Linked DNA regions of Ovis aries. The protein of the gene in region 1 purifies or fractionates together with the protein of each later gene. This does not show direct contact. Links are inferred from orthologs where the notes say so. Each region holds a gene or a part of one and is shown in the gene's direction. Other genes may lie near its edges.

Region 1 (4,338 bases):
TTGAGACATGGTGTGAGGAGTCAGTGGTAACAGATAAGGCTGGAAAGAGAAGTTGACAGGAACAGATTACCTAGGGTTGAACTCTGTCCTGAGAGCCCTAGGGAGGCCATGGATGGGCTTTGAACAGCGGTGGGCCGGCCCTGATCGTATTTGTGCTTTAGAAAGACCTCTCTAGATCCCAAGTGTAATGTAGATAGAAGGGTGAGACATGGGTCTGGGAGAGCAGAGACAAGGCTGATACAGGGAGAGTCCAAGCAGGAGAGGAGTTTCAACGGAGGCTGCAAAGAGGAATGGAGTGGAATAGAGGAATTCAGGTGACAGAATGCAAAAGACTTGGGGATTGTAATCAGGGAGTGAAGAGGAATGGCAGAAATCTAGGGAAACACCAAAATCTGCAGCCTGGTGACTGGAAGGAATGGCAGTGCTGCCCCTAAAATGACTCAGGAGAGGAGTGGGATTTGAAGTGAAATTGTCAGTTTCATTTAAGATCTGTGATGGGAGCAGGAAGGGAGGGACACTGACTGTTAGGGAGCTGTTGGGATCAGGAAGAGATTTTGGATTACCAGTGGATTATTGGGACACCGAGGGTATTGCAGGGATCAATCAAATTTTGGTGGGTGTTGGAGAAGTGAGTGAGGTTGTGGAAATATATAGGAGTTTGGTGGAAAATGTGGAGCTGTTCAGTTCAATCACTCAGTCGTGTCTCACTTTTTGCAACCCCATGGACTGCAGCACGCCAGGCCTCCCTGTCCATCACCAACTCCCGGAGCTTACTCAAACTCATGTCCGTTGAGTTGGTGATGCCATCCAACCATCTCATCCTCTGTCGTCCTCTTCTCCTCCTACTTTCAGTCTTTCCCAGCATCAGGGTCTTTTTGCTGTTAGTATTAATCAGTATTGGGTCAGATGAAGTCGCTGGAGTTTTATGGAGACGTTGGAGATCAATGAAATTTGCAGGATCATCAAGGGTGGAGAGGAAGGGTTGGAGATGCTGTGGCCAGTCGGGGACTTTAGATGTAAGTGGAAAACACTGGAGGGTGTATGTTGGGAGTCTTCAGGAGACATTAGGGTCACCTGAAGTCATTTCTGTGACGTCATGGGAAGGACAAGTTGTGGGCGAGGCCTTCTCTTGCGGGTACTCCCGTTGCTAGGCAAACGGTTCCCAGGGTGCCGTTGCTAGGGACTATGGCTCTTTTATGGACACGCCTCTTTCCCTGAGGGCCCCGCCCCCACAGCCAACCACTAGATGGTCGCAGGCACTAAGGCCGCGCCCACCTTGTAGCCCCGCCTTCAGACCCAGAACCGTTACCGGAGCGACGGCTGGAGGTCGTCCCGCCTCCCTACCCTGTTGCCAATCGAAAAGGCGTTGCCCGGGCGACGACCCCACCTCTTCCGGTGCGGACCCCGGCTTCCGGCAGGGGGCCCGGCGGCGGGCGGCGGTCCGGCAGCAGCGGGGTCCGGGGCTGGGGTTGGGGGGGGGCGCCCAAGATGGCGGCGGGCGGCGCGGAGGGCGGCTCTGGCCCCGGCGCCGCCATGGGGGATTGTGCGGAAATCAAGTCGCAGTTCCGCACCCGCGAGGGCTTCTACAAGCTGCTCCCCGGCGACGGCGCCGCCCGCAGATCGGGTCCGGCTTCCGCCCAGACCCCGGCGCCGCCCCAGCCGCCGCAGCCTCAGCCCGGCCCTGCCTCTGCCTCGGGCCCCGGCGCCGCGGGCCCCGCTCCGTCCCCTCCGCCTGCAGGCCCCGGGCCCGGGCCCGCGCTGCCTGCTGTGCGCCTAAGCCTCGTGCGTCTCGGGGAGCCCGACGGCGCCGGGGCCGGGGAGCCGCCCGCCACGCCCGCGGGGCTGGGCGCCGGGGGAGACCGCGTCTGCTTCAACTTGGGCCGCGAGCTCTATTTCTACCCGGGCTGCTGTCGCCGTGGGAGCCAACGGGTGAGCGGCCTGCACCTTGGGGCCCTGGGTGCAGGCTGAGAGGATGGGGACCCCTGAGGTGATTCACAAGTGACAGGAGGGTACCTGAATGACAGAGGGCCCGGAGACAAGCATCCTGGATGTGATGCAAGTCCTAGGGGGAAAGGGTTCTTGGAGGTGATGCAGGGTTCTAAAAGGTGAGTGGAGGCCCCCTGAGTGCTGACCATCCTGGAGGTGGTGGGAGGCCTTGAGATCACGTGAGATCCCCAGGTTATGCTTGGGGCTTCTGGGATAGTGACTGTTGTGGAGGTGATGGAGAATTCGAGATGGTTGTGGGGTCCTCCAGGGTTCTGGCTGGCAGGCATTTTGCAGGTGTTAGGAATTGGAGGCTCATAAGTGATACCCAGGGATATTGCATTCTGGGGTTGTCCGGGGGACTTAGGGAGCCCAGAGATAAGGAGGATTCTAGAAGTGACTGGGGCTTAGAGGTAATAGGGATCATGAAGGTGAATGGGACTCTAGAGAAAATTGGGGTTCTGGAGATTAATGACAGTGCTGGAGGAAATGAGAATCTTGGAGCTGATGGGAAATATGGAGGTGATATCCTCAGGTATGACAGGTGTCTCTAAAGTGATGTCGGTCCTAGAGGACGTGAGACCCTTGGAGTAAATGGTGGCCTCCGGAAGTGTTGGGGATCCTGAGAGCTCAGAGGTGATGAAGGCACCTAAAATTTGGGGGGACTGTGAGATTTAATGGGTTCCTGAACTGTGTGATGAGAATTCTGAGATTTAGGAACTCCAGAGTGAAGAGACTCTTGGAACATTGGGCTTTAGCATTCTGGGGATTGGGTGATCCTGAGTTTTGGTGGTTTTGGAATGTTGTGGTGCTAAGACCTAGGGGTGTTGCTGAAATTATGGAGGAGGACAAGAAAGGTATAAAAGCTCAGGAACTGCAGGGACCCTGCACTGAAACTGTAGGCAAGAGTCCCTGAAGTTGGGTGGGGAGGGGCGTCCAGCCTGGGGAAGGAGGCACTTAGTGGCCTCATGTGGTGGCAGCAGGGGAGCCTTCCTGCCTGGCGCTCTCTTCTGTTTGTGTTTTGGGTCGTCCTTCCTGTCTGTGGTTTCCCCTTCCCTCCTCATTTACCCATCCACCTACCCACTTCCCTCAGGGCTTTAGCCCTGCTTCCTCTTAGTGGTTTTTCCCCCAACCTCAACACCCTCTTCCTTCCTGTCAGTGGTAGAAGCCATTAACTCGTTTTCTCCCACCACTCAAGTCCATTGACCTCAACAAGCCAATTGACAAGCGGATCTATAAGGGCACTCAGCCCACCTGCCATGACTTCAACCAGTTCACTGCTGCCACGGAGACCATCTCCCTGCTGGTGGGCTTTTCAGCTGGCCAAGTCCAGTACCTGGATCTCATCAAGAAGGACACCAGCAAACTATTCAATGAGGAGGTGATTATGGGGCCCCATGGCTCACAACTCCTTCCCGCCCCACCCGCCCGCAGGCTGTTTGTGTGAGACTACAGCTGCCTGTTGAGCAGTGTCGGCCTGAGTGGGGGCAGGGTGAGGCAGAGATGGGGGAGGACTGACAGATACGTTGGGGGGGCGGACAGCAGTTACTCTGATGACAGCCAGCGATGACAGGTGCACCTCTGGTGCCCAGGCCCTGTGCGGTGTTAGCTCTATGCTGGACACATTACTCCTGGCATTTTCATCAACCAATAGGTTAGGATTGTGAGACCCATTCTGCAAATTAGAAAACTGAGGCTGGTCACTGGTTGGGATTTGTTTGAAGCCAGAGCCCTTGCTCTTCAAATTCTGGACTACATCATCTACTCACTGTGTGGCTTTGGGAAGGTGCCTGTTCCTGAGCCTCAGTTTTCCTCCACTGCAAAGTGGGATTCCTGTCCCTACCTCACAGGACTGTTGTAAAATCACATGTGGAGATTGCTCAGTCCTGGCGTAAGGGGAAATGTCAGCGGAGGAGTTTATCTGTGTCCAGAACTACTCTTGTCCTCTCTTTCTCCTGTGTTCAGAGAGGGTGTCCCAAATGTACAGAAAGCATGAATGGCAGAGGAAAGTGAGTTGAACGGGGAATGGATTAAAAATGGACTAGTTTATCCATTCACAAAATATTAACTGAGCATTCTCGTTCATTGCCAGACTTTGCTCTAAGCACTGGGAGTATTATATCTCAGTGAACAAAACAGAGGGCCCTCTGTTTGTGGAGCTTTCATCTCGCTGGCAGAGACAGTTATCAACTACCTAAGTATGCCGTGTGTCAGCAAGTTGTGGATGAAAATCCAGCAGGGGAGGCGAATGGGGAGTGCTTGGTGAGGTTAGGAAAGGTCTCGCTGGAAGGTGACAGGGAAATAAAGGGCCTGAAGGAGGCAGGAGAAGTTACTGGGGAGAAGGACGTTCTGCAT
Region 2 (3,808 bases), on another chromosome or scaffold:
ACCCTTCACACCTCCTCACTCCATGCCTTCCCTCCTCCCCCTACTCCCTGGAGTCCCTACCCTCATTTCTAGCTTTTTTTTTTCTCCACTGCACTTACGACATTCTGATGTACTGTCCAGTATACTTGCTTTTTCTTTCAGACTGCCTTTGTCCACTGTTCTGTTGTCAGAGCCTAGAACAGTGCCTGGCATGTGGTGGGTGCACAGTAGATAAATCTTTATCAGAAAAACACCATGACTTTGAAATTGGTGGTATGATTCTATACACCACTGAGTAGCATAAAATATACTCCAGGTATCTGAGCTTAGAACATTTTATTTGGAAGTTCTGAGTGGCAGTTTGCTCATTACCTGTCCTAAACCTGCTTTCCTAATGGAAGGTCATTGAAGCTGGGTAGAACAGATTTGAGGGACGATGAAGTTGGGTGAGGACAGGAATAGGCTGACCTCATTACCTCATCTACGGTTTACTTCCGACACCTGTTTTCAGCATGATCATCTCCAGACTCTGTAGCCACTAGGGGAAATGTTGGTCTCAATAGCGGGCTCTCTCAAGTATCCTTTTGCTTTCTTGTCTGTTTTACACGCAACAGAACTTTTGCTGTTTTTCTCTTTCAGGGCACCAATGCCTCTGCTCTGGAAAAAGACATTGGTCCAGAGCAGTTTCCAATCAATGAACACTACTTCGGATTGGTCAATGTAAGTATTTTGAAATGTACTGTCTTAATCAGGTGTTTTAGCATTCTTGAAGCAATGTCACTGCCATTTTCATCATTACCAAGTTTTAAATAATTGGTCATACTCCTTGGTTACCATAGGTGGCAAATACTAGAGTAGGGGATATTTAGTCCAATTTTTGGAAGTATGAGTTGCCCCAGAAGAGGAGGTTTAATTAGTGCATTATTAGGTCAGATTCTCATTTTCCCCCCTGTGCTTTAAAGGATTTCCTTTGCACACTAACTTTCAGAGCAATATTATTGGCCTTTGTAGCAAAATCTGCTTTTGTGTGTCCTCCCTTTACCATCTGAATGTGCTCGTCAGATTGTATACATCAGCTCAACCAGAGCTCATCACCAGTGGTTGCTTCGTGGCATAATTTGGTATCTGAAGCATGGGTTGGAAGTGGGGGGAGACTGGGGCCAGTTTATCTCTAAATCCCTTGGCCTCATTTCACTTGTGCTCAGCAACGGTCCCCTTGTATATAGCCAGACTTGTTCGGCACTGTGTCCTGGATAAGTTCATGATAGCTGGGTAGTAAGGCAATATTACCCACCACCCTCATGAGCTTTCTTCTCCAGCTGATCCTTTCTCTCTGGGGTGGAGGATGTAAATAACATCAGCTGCTACCTCACTAGCACCAGGTTTTCTAGAACAACTGCTCTGAGCATGGTCTGCCAGAACTCAGGTGTCATAGGTCATAGTCTCTACTGAGTGTTCTGAGTGAATGCCGCTGTGGACTAATGGAGTGGACATTGTCTCTGAAGTAGTACAGACCTAATCCAGAGTCTGCCTGTGCTGCTCCCTAGCTGTGTGATCTTGGGCAAGTCACTTGCCCTCTCTGAGCTTCCATTTCCCCTTCTGTGAAATGGGTCACAGCGGTTTCTACACTTTGGCTTATAGTGAAGGATCCGTGAGAGCTCCTACTGAAGGTCCTGACATGAGGCTGAGGCACAGTGACGCTCGGTAAATGTTAGTTCCTTTTCTTTCCCAGGAGCCAAGTGTTACTAAAGGGTGTCTGGCTAAAGGTGAGGTACTGAGTAAGGAAAAGAATGGGAGGAGGAGGCTAAAGTACTGGCATATAGGGCACTGTGTTGATGGAATACTGACTTAGAATTTTAATGCAGCGTTTTAGGCATTGGGCAAAGGCCTCTTGCTTAAGCTCTATGAGGATAGTTATTTAAGTTGAGGGAGTTCTGCCTTGGCCAGGGAAAAGATGGATGCAGACTATGGAGGAATAAAGAACTAAAGCCATCTCCTAGCCTGTGGAAGCATTGTGAGATCTAAACCTAATAATAGTTTTGTACATGTTCACTTTGAATGGTAGTTCATGAAAGTTACAGCTTCTCTTTAAAAAGGGGTTTGTCTCATCACGTAATTGTGTCAAAGTAGATTAAAATGTATAAAAATAGGAAGTGTTCTATCAGCATACGAAGAAATGTCCCGTTAAGGATGGCCGTGCATCTGCCTCACTCTTGGGCAGATGACACACAAGCCAGCTACCAGGCTTGAGAAGGTGTTCATGTTCCATTTCAATCTTACACAGCATTTTCTAATCTGCTATTAATCTTCTAATTGTCCTAGATGGTTTCCCTCTTTATTTTAGCACATATGAGCAACTCTAAAATGAACGTCTCCGCTATGTGTTCTCCCATAGAACTGGTTATCCAGTCAGTTGAAAACCAGTGAGATGATGACTTTTTGCCTCGTTAAATCATAACCGTGGCTTTTGAGAAGTGCAGCGTGTCACTCTGTGGGTCCTGTTACGGTGGCAGGAGACCAGGACCTATGTGCTATTGTATTGAGACAGTGGCTACTTTGGCAGAAACGAGATTGCTTTGGAGAAAGTGAGGCGATTAGTCTGAAGCCTGTGGCAGGAGTGCCAAACCCTTGAAAGAGAGAAACTTAAAACAAGTCCCCACTCAGTTAAGGCTGTTTCAGCTGAGCAAGCGGTTCCTAGTAGCTGGATTTCTTTCTGATTGAGGTTTTTATTGTCCCTGTCATACGAGTTTTGATGTGTTGCAGTGTGACGTCTTTTGTGTCGCCAGCTGCTTTTCTATGTCTCCATATCATGTTGATTTTTTTTTTTCTTCACCCTCTCTTTTGAGCACCAGAAAGTCTCATTAGATTTTTAAAAACCAGGGCCGAGTGTCCCTTATCATTTTATAGAGACTTTTATAGCCTAGCGAGCTCTCCAGCTTGTGTATACTAGGATTCATTTCCCTGGCGATCAGCTAGTCACTGGTGTTCGGCCTGGCTTGCTGGTCTACCACGGCATGCAGCCCGTGACACAGGGGATCTGGGCCAGTTCACACCAGGGCGGCCCCTCCCTCTCCTCGCTGCTGCAGAGAACCCTGATTTAAATCGGCCCTCTTGTCCTTTGGCAGTTCGGAAACACATGCTACTGTAACTCCGTTCTCCAAGCCCTGTACTTCTGCCGGCCGTTCCGGGAGAATGTGCTGGCGTACAAGGCCCAGCAAAAGAAGAAAGAGAACTTGTTGACATGCCTGGCAGACCTTTTCCACAGCATCGCCACGCAGAAGAAGAAGGTCGGCGTGATCCCACCAAAGAAGTTCATTTCGAGGCTGAGAAAAGAAAATGGTGAGTAACATGGAGACGAATGTGTTTCAGATCTGAGATAAGGAGAATCAACAGGTCTGTGTAACCTCAAAATGAATCCCCCCCCTCTTTTTTTTTTAAATGGGAAAATAGTATGGCCAACTACTCAGGTTTTAAATACAAGATATTTCTTCTTTTCCACCCAGTAAAAATTGGATTCAAAAAATATACTTAAAAATTCTGATTGGAACTTCCCTAGTGGTTCAGTGGTTAAGACTCCACAGTTGCAGTGCAGGGGCTGTGGGTTCCATCTCTGGTCAGGGAATTAAGATCCCACATGCCACATGGCCAAAAAAAAAAAAGTAATTAATCCTTCCAAAATGGAATGATCTTTTTATTTGCTCCACATTCGGAGGACTTTTTTCTGGGTAGGATCATTATAAGAGGAAAAATTGCCCAAGGCAGGACACTGACTGGAATAAATAGGTTGATGTAGTAATTGAATAAAATAGTACTGTCTTATAAACTTGTC

The links.
Region 2: the proteins of DMWD (region 1) and USP46 purify together in Homo sapiens (affinity purification with mass spectrometry; 5 studies listed by BioGRID and IntAct, counting the BioPlex papers as one, with this or other methods). This does not show direct contact. The link is inferred for Ovis aries from reciprocal best matches to the Homo sapiens genes DMWD and USP46.

The regions. Positions count from the first base shown.
Region 1 is NC_056067.1:53,113,116-53,117,453, reverse strand, and holds the start of DMWD (dystrophia myotonica WD repeat-containing protein), read left to right. Parts: upstream 1-1,406; 5' UTR 1,407-1,488; coding exon 1,489-1,929; intron 1,930-3,181; coding exon 3,182-3,364; intron 3,365-4,338. UniProt on the Homo sapiens protein: Regulator of the deubiquitinating USP12/DMWD/WDR48 complex. Functions as a cofactor that promotes USP12 enzymatic activity.
Region 2 is NC_056059.1:69,023,606-69,027,413, reverse strand, and holds part of USP46 (ubiquitin carboxyl-terminal hydrolase 46), read left to right. Parts: intron 1-618; coding exon 619-699; intron 700-3,104; coding exon 3,105-3,318; intron 3,319-3,808. UniProt on the Homo sapiens protein: Deubiquitinating enzyme that plays a role in behavior, possibly by regulating GABA action. May act by mediating the deubiquitination of GAD1/GAD67.